3 linked regions of the Macaca fascicularis genome follow. The protein of the gene in region 2 purifies or fractionates together with the protein of the main gene of each other region. This does not show direct contact. Links are inferred from orthologs where the notes say so. Each region holds a gene or a part of one and is shown on either strand. Other genes may lie near its edges.

The links. The genes of interacting proteins can lie anywhere in the genome.
Region 1: the proteins of VAPA (region 2) and ZFYVE27 purify together in Homo sapiens (co-immunoprecipitation; 3 studies listed by BioGRID and IntAct, counting the BioPlex papers as one, with this or other methods). This does not show direct contact. The link is inferred for Macaca fascicularis from reciprocal best matches to the Homo sapiens genes VAPA and ZFYVE27.
Region 3: the proteins of VAPA (region 2) and WDR44 purify together in Homo sapiens (affinity purification with mass spectrometry; 3 studies listed by BioGRID and IntAct, counting the BioPlex papers as one, with this or other methods). This does not show direct contact. The link is inferred for Macaca fascicularis from reciprocal best matches to the Homo sapiens genes VAPA and WDR44.

The regions. Positions count from the first base shown.
Region 1 is NC_088383.1:106,691,135-106,695,158, reverse strand, and holds the start of ZFYVE27 (protrudin), read right to left. Parts: upstream 2,841-4,024; 5' UTR 2,647-2,840; intron 1,490-2,646; 5' UTR 1,489-1,489; coding exon 1,292-1,488; intron 1-1,291. UniProt on the Homo sapiens protein: Key regulator of RAB11-dependent vesicular trafficking during neurite extension through polarized membrane transport. Promotes axonal elongation and contributes to the establishment of neuronal cell polarity.
Region 2 is NC_088392.1:78,284,313-78,287,874, reverse strand, and holds part of VAPA (vesicle-associated membrane protein-associated protein A), read right to left. Parts: intron 2,888-3,562; coding exon 2,784-2,887; intron 1,739-2,783; coding exon 1,658-1,738; intron 1-1,657. UniProt on the Homo sapiens protein: Endoplasmic reticulum (ER)-anchored protein that mediates the formation of contact sites between the ER and endosomes via interaction with FFAT motif-containing proteins such as STARD3 or WDR44.
Region 3 is NC_088395.1:124,674,972-124,679,061, reverse strand, and holds the start of WDR44 (WD repeat-containing protein 44), read right to left. Parts: upstream 2,841-4,090; 5' UTR 2,443-2,840; coding exon 2,366-2,442; intron 1-2,365. UniProt on the Homo sapiens protein: Downstream effector for Rab11 which regulates Rab11 intracellular membrane trafficking functions such as endocytic recycling, intracellular ciliogenesis and protein export.

The DNA.
Region 1 (4,024 bases), on a different chromosome or scaffold from region 2:
TACAACTGAGGAAATGGAATATGAACTGAGTATAGGATGATACCAAGGAGTTATTAATTTTGTTAGGTATGATATTACTTTGTTCTTGAAAGAAACGTCCTTAATTATTTAGAGAGAAAAACTGACATATTTAGGGAGTAGAATGCCCTATAAGTAATTTAAAATAATGTTAACAGCTGGGTACAGTGGCTCACGCCTATAACCCCAGCACTTTGGGAGGCCAAGGTGGGTGGATCACGAGGTCAGGAGATCGAGACCATCCTGGCTAACAAGTGAAACCCCATCTCTACTAAAAAACAAAAAATTAGCTGGGCGTTGTGGCGGGTGCCTGTAGTACCAGCTACTTGGGAGGCTGAGGCAGGAGAATGGTATGAACCCGGGAGGCAGAGCTTGCAGTGAGCCAAGATCGCGCCACTGCACTTCAGTCTGGGCAACAGAGTAAGACTCCGTCTCAAAAAATAATAATAATAATAATAATAATTTTAACATAATAAAATGAGCCAAAAGAAAAAAAAGAAAATTATAGAGAATGAAAATCAAAGCAGGATAGGAGGGAAAAAATTAAAATCCATAATCTCAATAAATTAGCAAAAATGGGCTGGGCGCAGTGGCTCACACCTGTAATCCCAGCACTTTGGGAGGCTGAGGCAGGAGGATCGCTTGAGCCCAAAAGTTCAAGACCAGCCCGGGCAACACAGCGAGACCCTCTCTACAATTTTTTTTTTTTTAATTAGCCAAGCACAGTGGCTGAAGTAGGAGGATCGCTTGAGTCGAAGAAGTTGAGGCCACAGTGAACCATGATCACACTACTGCATTCCAGCCTGGACAACACAGCAAGATCCTGTCTCAAAAAAAAAAAAAAAAGTAGTGAAAATGGTATCTGCTTATTTATAGATTTTTGTATTTCTTAAACTTTTGTTCAAAATTATATCCTAATTTTTAAATATTAATTAAGCCAATATTGGGAGCAAAGGAAAAAACTAAGCCTGCTCTAAGCTGCAGAAGGCCTGATGTTCAAGGCTGTCCAGCAGTCCGGAGGAAGGAGCTTATTCAGTCACAAAGAAGAATCCTGCTGAAAGGCAGGATCATTCCCAGTATCTGCCTTTCCTGGGCTGGGTCTGAGACACAGGGTAGGCCTAGATAAACCCAGAGGCCGAAAAGACCTCCCAGAACTGCTCCTCACTAGGGCAGAAAGGACAGCCCAGGCACTGCCTAAATGGCCGGTGTCAGTTACTACAGAGCAGGAAGGCAGAAGGCACAGCAGACATGAGCAACTCCACAAAGTCTGTACCTGAGCAAGTATCGAACACCATCACCTGCATCCTTCAAGGGTTCCAGGTAGATCTCCAGCCTCTTGTAGGAGAGAACCAAGTTGAAAAGGTCAAACGCTGGGGACTTGGTAGGAAAAGGTGGAGACTCCAGGGGAGCCTCGGGCATCACGCTGGGGCTCAGCTCCGGCCCACTCCCCTCACGTTCTGAAGTCTGCATCCTGTAACCATAATAATTACCAACATTTGCATTGCACGTCTAGTCCCCAACACACTTCTACCTACTGCTTCAGGTGGCGCCACAGTAAACCTGTGAGCAAGGCAAAGTGAATTATTCAGACCTAAAATCCTGTTCTTTGGACTCTCCGTCCAATGCTCTTTTCCCCACAGATCCATCAAAACTAAAATTCATAAAAACCAAGCATATTTGATCGCTGCAGCGAGGAAGCCCATGGGCTGAAATGAAATGATGTCCCGGAACATTTTTCTCCCACTCTTTACCTGGTTAATTCCTACTCATCCTTCAGGTATCAGCTTAAACATCACTCCCTTACTCTGGCAAGTCTCTGCCAACACCTCCAACTCTGGACTGGGAGACCCTCCCCAATGCTCCCAAAGGATCACGTACTCACCCTAACAGAGCACTTATCACATCACATCGCTTCTTGGCCTTGTGGCTAAGATCAAGTGCAGAGCACTTACCACGTCCAAGTAAAACTCCCTGCTCTTACTTGGCCGCCATTCACGACTGTTTCTGTACACAGTGGGTGCTTAACAAATGCCTGCTGAATGAGTGAATGAAATACCGTGTTCCAGGACTCCCGCCCCATCCTCTAACCCTTCCCACTCCCTTCAGTTCCCAACAACTTCCTGGGCCATCTCCGCCCAGGGCAGTCGGCATCACAACGCCGCATTCCCGTCTGCCCTCTCTGATGAGGAAACCCAGGAGCCTTTACGGTCTTTCCCAGTTCAAAGTCCTACCCTGAACGCTAAGCAGCAAACGAGGGAGCGGAACCTCGGCGAAGAGCAACATAAACCAGTCCCAGGCAATTAGCCGCGACAATGGGATGGTGAGGGGATGGGACAAAGGGGCCAACGAGAGCCGAAATCAACGCAGGCCGAGCCAGGGCGAAAAGGCACAGAGTGGCGCCAGGTAGAAGCCCAGGAAGGGGTGAGGTAGGTCGACGCCCGCACTGGCCTTGGCCAAGACCTCTGCAGCCAGGAGGGCCTGATGGAGCCCGTGCGGCAGGACAGCGAAGGCCACGCCCAAGTTCGCTGGGCCAGCAGGTGGCGGCCCCCGCTGCGCCCAAGCGCCCAACTACACACAGCCTGCGGAGACACGGGGACGCGGGGTGGGGGGGGCCGGCACCTCACGTACCCGGCCACTGGCTCCGTAAGAGAGACGGCAGGTTCGGGCAGGAGCAGGGGGAGAGCCACTGGGCCCCAGAGCGTTTCCTCAGGCCCGCCCCGGCCGAACGCCGCTCCTCCTGCCAGGGCCGTTCGGAAGTCGCAGGTCCGAAAATCTCCTCCGCCTACGCCGCCGCCGCCACGGCCGCTTCCGGGACGTGAATCGCTCTGCGGCTGCGTCCTCATGACGTCATGCCGCTCCGGCTTTAGCTCCGCCCACTCCAGCACAGGTGAGCTCCCCCCCCTTGCCAGCACTGCGCCTGCGCGCCTTTCCCCGCGCGCTGCAGGCTGGAGTTACCTTGTCCTTGGCTGGCCGGGTTTAATAAAGTGAGGACCCTTGGGAGCACGTGCTTGGCGACCCTGCACCTCGTTGCCCTGCCTCGCCGCAGGAGCAGTTGGCGAGAGGCTTAACTGAAGAATTTACATCTTCATCCTTTTTCCTTCCAACTTTGGAACTGAACTGGGGACTATGTGTGAGCCCAGGAAAGACGGAAACCGTATCCTATATGAGATGCCCAGCAGAGCATGCAGTTGTTTCCTGAGTAGCTAGTGTATACAAGGTCTTGTGCAGGCTTCTCCTAGCTCAGTTCACTTCACACCGTGTGGCCCAGTTAATTTCCCTTAAAGGACACGTCCGATGGCTTTATAGTAGTGACTTGGCGCTCAGGTACGGAGGAGCTAAGCACTGGACCGGACTGAGCTCTTTTTAGACATTATCTAGTCCTCCTCCAACAACCCTATTAGGATTGTCGCCATTTTACAGATGGGGAATCTCAGACGTGTTAAGGAACTTCTTAGGAACACGCAGCTAAGAAGCAACTGGGAGCGGGAATTTGACGCTTATGTGTCATCTGACCCCAGCACCCCAACCATACCACACCCACCTTGGTCTGCATTTCCTGGTCTCGTCCTCTGCCATCTTTCAGCTGCCTTTAACTTTGGCCAACTGAACCCCTCCATTGTTACCCTCAAATGCCCCTGGCACTCAAATGTCTGTATCCCTTCCTTGAGTGCCCCAGCTGGAAGTAATCACTTCCCTCTTCAAGCAGCCACACAGCTTTATCTGCACCTCTTTCTCCATGATCTCCTTTCAGAAAGACAGGCCCACCCCTCCAGCCAGGACTCAGCTGTGCTCCAGGGTCCAACTCTTATTTCCTTGGGGCTTTGCTCTAACAGGCCTGAAATCTTGACTCTCATTAACTCTTAATCATCATTTTTAGAGACAAAATTCATGGCAATTTTCTCCTTTAGCCTAACCTTACCCCCTCTTTCCTACCTGATTTGGAAGACTCACTGTAAAGTGCTCTCTACTGCTGCTTCCTCGCCCAGTTCACTCTTCACTGCACTGT
Region 2 (3,562 bases):
TCCAGATAATCCAATTAGTGAAAATACATGAGCACCCAGCTAATCAAGGCTCAGACTCAAGATATTCTCTAGAGTACTTTGAAGTTACTTAACAGCTTTCAGGTTACTAGTAATACCTGCTCTGAAAAGGTTCCACGTTCAAACTACTGCTGCTCCAGTTCCACCACAGGCGATTCTGGGAACTCCATTCGGTATTTGCTCAAGCGCTAAAAGAGACCCAAAACTACTTTCTTGGATAACTATGGGCTAGACCAATAGGTAGGCATAACGGCTCTTTTCACCCAAGATGGGTAAATCGCTGGGTTCAACTGTCATTACTGTATCAGTAATGGTTTGGTTTCCAAACCAGTGAGAGCTACTCTTAATCAGCAGTATCAAATACCTGCGGTCTCAATGCTTTTCACACATCTCAAAGTGTGTGCTATCCAGAGCATAGCAGAAGCCCAGATAGAAGACAGATTTATGCTGACTGAATTACTGTAAAAAATGACATAAAACTCTAAGTGAGAAAATATCCAAATGTTTTTTTAAAAAAAGTCAATCCAGACAATACGCTGTTTTGTTTTCTTGATTTCAACAGTAAGAGCTGTGCAAGCTATTAGCTTCCCTCAGCCTAAGCCAAAAAAGAAAACCTCTAAATGGGAAGCATACACAGACCATCTAACACTCACTTTACAGAGAATATACGTGTTCACATTTTTTTGCTTTTGGCAAATACCTCAAAAATCACTTAAAAGAGGTATTTTAAAAATTCAAAAACTAATTTGGTCAACACCTAATTGCCAGAGACCTTTTCATTTCTGCTTATCCTGAAAGAGAAACACAGTAACTGAGCCCACGTATTTAATCTGCATGTTTACTTTTCAATAGAGCAAATGGCCACCAGATTAAGGCAGTAGTCATGTCAGACTGTAACCAAATCGTGCCAAACAATTCTATTTATCCATATTATTGTATGTATTAAGTCACATACACACACAGAAAAACTTATCTTTCAAGTCTCTCTTACCATAGGCAAAGATTCAAATTTGCAACCCAGACAGGGAAAAGGACAAGGTAAGTGACTATAATCCACTCTGTACATTCACCGACTACTATTTGTTTGTTTTTAAATAAACACATATATCCCTCAGTCCCCCAAATTGTATTTGACCTACACTAATGAGTAAGCAGCATAACAATTATTTACTAAAGAATGCAATCAGATGGATTTGACTAAAAACAAAAGTGAGCAAAATACCTGGGAATAGCTAAACCTGGAATAAACTGTCCATGTAAGTGAATTTTTTATCCCCAAACTGCTGGTACATAATGGCCAAAAAGCAATTTATATGTATTTTTAAATTATGTATACATGTCTCATTCTAAAAAAGAACCTGTAGTGGTTTACGCCACAAAAATCTGCTATACTTAAAGGATTCTTCTCCAGGATGTAGTCTAGACCTAAAAGTGAGTCTTTCTTTCTTCTTGGATAAACAAAATGTTATTTAAAAAAAAAAAAAAAAAAGCATACCAAGTTTTTTAAAACTTAACCACTGAGTCTTATGACATGAAAGAGCCATAACACACATACCTCAAAGGTCAAAAATAGAAGCAAAATTAATCAAAGGAACTGAGTGCTCAAAGCTTCAATTTTTTTTTACATTTTCCTACTTACCAATTTGTCATTTTCATTAGGCATTTCAAATACACATCTCAATTTGGAATCCATTAATTCATCAGGTTTTGCCTCTTTCCACTAAAAAATAAACAAAACCAAAAATGAGACATAGGAGGTATGATCATGGTAAGTAAGTGTGACCTCATGGGACAGCTAAAAGATGAGTGTAGCTGCCTGGCTTGGCTGAAATACACTGGTGCCCTCTTCACTGATCACCCTGCCATCGTTACTGGCTAATGTCACAGAATATATAATCCTAGAGTTACTATCACCATCCATTAAAATCACGATGATATCACTAGCAACCACAGGACTTTCTTCTTAAGAGCAGCATTTCTTTCTTTTTTCTCTTTTTCCAGTTGGTCTCATTCTGTCTCCCAGGCTGGAGTGCAGTGGCCACTCCTGGGCTCAAGCAAGCCTCCTGGGTAGCTGGGACTACAGGCATCTGTTGGTTTTTTTACTTGTTGGGTTTTTTTTTTTTTTTTTTTTTTATTGTAGAGACAGGGTCTTGTCATGTCGCCTGGGCTGGTCTCGAACTCCTGGGCTTGAGATACTCCCATCTTAGCCTCCCAAAGGGCTGGGATTACAGGTGTGAGCCACTGCACTAGGCCAGTAGCAGCATTTCTAAATTGTTTCTAAAAAAAAAAAATACTATTTAAAAATTCTTGGCCGGGCGCGGTGGCTCACGCCTGTAATCCCAGCACTTTGGGAGGCCAAGGCGGGCGGATCACAAGGTCAGGAGATCGAGACGATGGTGAAACCCCGTCTCTACTAAAAATAGAAAAAATTAGCCGGGCGCAGTGGCGGGCGCCTGTAGTCCCAGCTACTCGGGAGGCTGAGGCAGGAGAATGGCGTGAACCCGGGAGGCGGAGCTTGCAGTGAGCCGAGATTGCGCCACTGCACTCCAGCCTGGGTGACAGAGCGAGACTCCGTCTCAAAAAAAAAAAAAAAAAAAATTCTTTCATTCTGTAAGTTACGATTATCTACAATGAAGACATTGGCACTTTTTTAAAAATCTAAATTTAACTTTTAGTTTTTAGAAATTAAGTTTTTCTACTGACTGCTGAACAAAACCCACAGTTTAAACTCCACTCCCCAAAATAAATTCTTCTTCTGTACTTACCACAGCTTCCATATCTGAAGTGTTTGGTGGAGCAAAAATTGTCTGTACCATAAACTTGTGTTTACTCTTTTCATTCGGATCATAGTCAAAGGGCTGTAGCATTACTAAATAAGAAAAAAAGGATATATTATATTGTCTCCTGCATGTTTGAAAGACATACATTGAAACAGTTAGAGATTAAATTATACCAAGTCCGGGATTTGCCTTAAACAGTATCTGGCCATAGTATCATTCCTATTACTTCACAAATATGCAAATTTAAAGAAAACCAAGAAGGGTTCAAGAAACCAAACACCAGAATGTTTAAGAATCCAGAATCAACTTAATGGATCCCAAGTATTTTCAAATTGTCTGCCTTTCTAATTTACTAAGTTTTCCACAACCAACAAAATAAACAATTGCAATTAAAAATTAAATATGAATCTATGATTTTGCCCTTTCTAAACTCAGCTTGTGAAAATTTTCAAAACTTTGCCAGTGTTAACTATAATGCCTATAAGTTCAGATAAAATCTACTAAGTTATTAAAACTAGTTATGAATTTAGGCTTCATTTTAGTGTTTTCTGATTTAAAATTATATAGCTGGCATATTTAAAGGAGAAATAGTAACTTAAAACCTCACTACCATCTATTTTTTGCTTTTTAAAACGGAGTCTTACTGTCGTGAGGCTGCAGTGCAGTGGCGCCATCTCTGCTCACTGCAGCCTCAACCTCCCTGGGCTCATTTTGTAGAGAAAGCGTTTTCGCCATTTTGCCCAGGCTGGTATCAAATTCCCGGG
Region 3 (4,090 bases), on a different chromosome or scaffold from region 2:
CCCGGGAGGCGGAGCTTGCAGTGAGCTGAGATCCGGCCACTGCATTCCAGCCTGGGCGACAGAGCGAGACTCCGTCTCAAAAAAAAAAAAAAAAAAAAAAGAAATTGTATAGTTTGCCACTACAGATCATATCAAGGAACAGAACATATTTCTGATGACCAGTATCTAGTTACGCAATCTGTCTCCACAAATCAAGATTTCTCACTACATTTCCAGGTTGTAAGTTGCCCACCCAGATCTCCTCATAGTGTCTTATGCAAATGATACAACCTTTCACAAAGGACAGAGGAACATGTAAATGATGCTAACCTTTTTCTGCCCTCTCAGTGCTGCCAGTTCTTTTCAGATGCAATTCTCCAGATTAGTCTATTCTCTTTCCAATCCTCTAATACAGAAAGGAGCCCTGAAATCCACAAACTGACCCTGTAGTTTTATCCATAGAGCTCAACACACTTAGTAATTGGGCAGGTTAACGTTAAAATTAGAAAGCTGAGTTCCGAGAAACTTTTTTAGTCTTCACCTAATATCAGAGGATCAAAGTGCTTGAGAAGCTATATTATCTCATGAGGGAAGAAGTGACTCTATCAATTCTGTCAAAATGACTCATCCGGTTTAGATAAGTAAAATAGCTCCAAGTTCTATATATCTCCCAAAGTAAGCTCTGTGTAAAGTTAACAAATATGCCAATGCCAAGAAAGGAAGGAGACGAGCACGAACACTTTGAATGCTTTCTCTGTGCCCAGGTACTGGACTAAACAGTTTACACAGGTCCTGACATAACTTGCGTCCTTTGAAATTAAACTTACTCAATGGAAAGAAACAATATCCACAGAGTAGTTCTAAACTGACCATCTCATAAACTGATGATTTTCCTCCCCCACCCCAATACACACACACAAAAGTACCAAAGGACTTGGTCTCTCATTTAATCTGAATTGTCAGTTCATTACTGTGAAGGGAAAACCACACACACAAAAAATTAAATTTCACGGAAATCCAATACATTTCAAAACCCAAATGTATTTCCTATCCTCTGCACTTAGCTCTAAACTTGTCTCAGATATTGAACTTGAAGGAGATTCGGTGCCATCTCAAGATTGGCCATTGCCACCCCAAAATCCCACAACAGTGACATGAAGGTTGTTGGAAAGACACATATCTGAAATCTACCAAAGTACATTGCTTTCTGATTTTATTACTGTAACTTTTTGGTGTATATTGTGTATAAACACACATTAGTTTTTAGAATGACTTCTAGCATGCATGGCTAACTATACTTGCATCACAGGGGGTATTTCTCCCACGGAGTAAGTATGAGAATTGAAGGCAGTGAACTTCTGGAACCATATTAGTCCTTTATACTAACATACAAATTTTACCAATCATCAAGTTCGTACAGCATGAAAATATATTTCACTGCCTCTACTTCCACGTACATTCATAGGGGAGTTCGGCGAAATTGCTTTAAAGCACTACTCCAACTTTGAAAAGTGGAGAAGTGGGTAAGCAAATACAAGTCCTAGTTAAGCGAGCATTCCAACTACTGTACTTCCTATTCAGAATCACCCATATTAATCACCACTAAAACATCGTGCAGAATTAGATAAAGAACACAAAGCTGGGGCTCTCCTTCCAATCACCAGATTACTCAGCACTTGTTTGTCCCTCTGCAGTCAGTTGTGCACATTTCTTCTGTTTGGCCATCCTTTTAGACCGCATTCTTCCTAATAGGGACCGTGTAATCGATTTCCTTTAACTCATGACAAGGTGTTATTTTAATAAAACACTGTTGATCTAGAGTACATTCGCTAGAGGACTTTCTTAAGCAAATACCCAACCTTCCCCCCCGCTCATTTTCGCTGTGTGCAAGAAAAAGAGGACGGCAAATAGGGGAGAGTTACAGCCACCTCTGAAGTGAATAGGTAAGTTAGCGGTAAACGGGAGGATAAAAAACTACAAGTTACATTTCTCCTGTTACTGCTCCTTTAATCTACGGTCTCCGAGGCCAAAACGGATGTTTGAAAGGTAAGCTCAGAACCCCACAGATACAAATCTCCGACTCTCAGGCACGTAAGCTGTTCCCCCTCACAGAAGGCTGGATCAGAAGAGAAACGGGCTCCGAGAGAGACCCTGGGACCGTTCAGTAGGGAAACGGCCGGGAGGCGGCCCGAGGTGGGCGACTCCCCCTTCTCCGCGTCACCCCACCCTAAGAAGCCCCAGGTCTGGGTTCTGAAGTGCTCCAGTGAAACGGAGAGGAACAGCGGTGGCGGACACAGCGGGACCTGGGAGGGGTGTAGGGGGAAGGCACAGGAGATGCGGGGGGCCTGGGATGCCCGGCTTCCTGGCCACAGCTGCAGTTACTTACCCCACGGGGTAGCCGCCCCCTAAGTGCACATCTTCAGGGGCATCATAGAATTCCTCGGTGTCGCTTTCCGACGCCATTTATAGGACACACCCGCGGGTGAGGGGGCCGGCGCCGCCTGGAGGAAGGGTGACTCTTGTCTCCTCCTCGTCGACCTCCACCCGGGCGAGACTGGGGAAGTGGGTCCCGGGCGAGGCTGAGGGAGCAGACGATCTGAAGAGAGGAGACTGTTAAGGAAAGGTGGCCGCCCTCAGTTGCCGGGCTTCGGGAATGACCGGCAAAGCGGCCGCCTGAAGAGGCGGCGGTGGGTCCACGGACTGTTGCTGCCACCGCTCCCAGTGATAGGTGTATAAGGAGCGCAAAAGAGGCGGTGGCTCTTCGCAGTGGGGGAGGAAGGGCGCGCCGGCGACAGCGGCTCCAGTTTCTCCCGCAGCAGCAATTTACAGCAGCTGGAAGAGCTAGTTGCCCGCAAAATACCGACGCGCACCTACCCTCGCGAGATTTCGGGAGGGGCGGTAACACGTGGGCGGGGCGAAGAGGTGGCGGGGGCGGTTCCAGAGAGGCAGCGCTCTGATTACTTCTGCCTGGGAAGCCTATCAAAACGGCGCAAGCGCGTTGAGGGCGTTCGGTGAGGACCGGAAGTAGCCGAGAAGGGAGGGGTTGAGCCTCCCGAAGGGAGGAGTCTAGAACCGTGGTGCCCGGGATTTGAGAGCGCGCGCCCGACGTAGGTGGGGTCAGTCAGAACGCCTTACTCCCTAACTGCAGTTCCAAAGAGACGCGTTTTGAGAGGGATGATTTTGGGTCGGTCTTTTTCTTGTAAAGAAGTGCTCTCGGGAAACGTTGGTGTGGACATTTTGGCGTATATTTACGATGTCTTACTATCCAAGCCCGGAATGTCCCACCCTAGGGCGTCGGCAGGTCCACCATCTCTGGCGTTACTAGAACAACTCGCCCTTATTGACTACGAGATCTTTAATTGAGATCCCTAGATACGATCCTGCCGGCCAGAGGGTGGGGTCCTTGAGATATACCCGGGGAGTGTGCCAATTCCATGGAGTAATGATGGATTTATTGCTGGAGCTGAGCCAGTATAAGGCCTCCGGTTACTTTTTCTCCGCACATGTCTGTCGCTGCCGACACGATGTGAGAGAAGTTCTTACTGCCCAAGATGTGCGTCAGCTAAATGGTAAATATTTATTGAGCAGATATCATTGCAAGCCTACGAGCTAATGGCTTAATTCTGATCCTCAACTGCCCAGCGTCCGGTGATAAAAATAGAAAGGTACTTTTTAAAAAACCGAAATGTTCTTAAACCACGGGTCATTGACCATCAAGGTGATAACATTGACTTTCAATATGATCACACAGCATATTTGTTTCTCCAACTGACGTCATGATAGGCATTTTGAGCTGTTCGAGCAGCCTCAATTACTACTCAAGAAAAGGCTGGATTGGAGCCAGGGGTATGGCCTCAGAGAGGCTGGAAAGGGGCTCTAGACTTTGTCAAGCAATCAGGGCAAGGTCTGCTGTGGTCTGGTGGACTTCGGTAAAAACCAAATGTCATATACTGTATATTCTGTAATACCCCAGGGAGTTTAGGGAAAACACTGCATAATCAAATATATTAATATTTTTGCAGCAAGATACATGATTGTTCGTACGGGATAAATAAATACAAGTAAATAACCTCATTCAGTTTGAGTCAGACGCTTCTGCCAGATAAGTTTA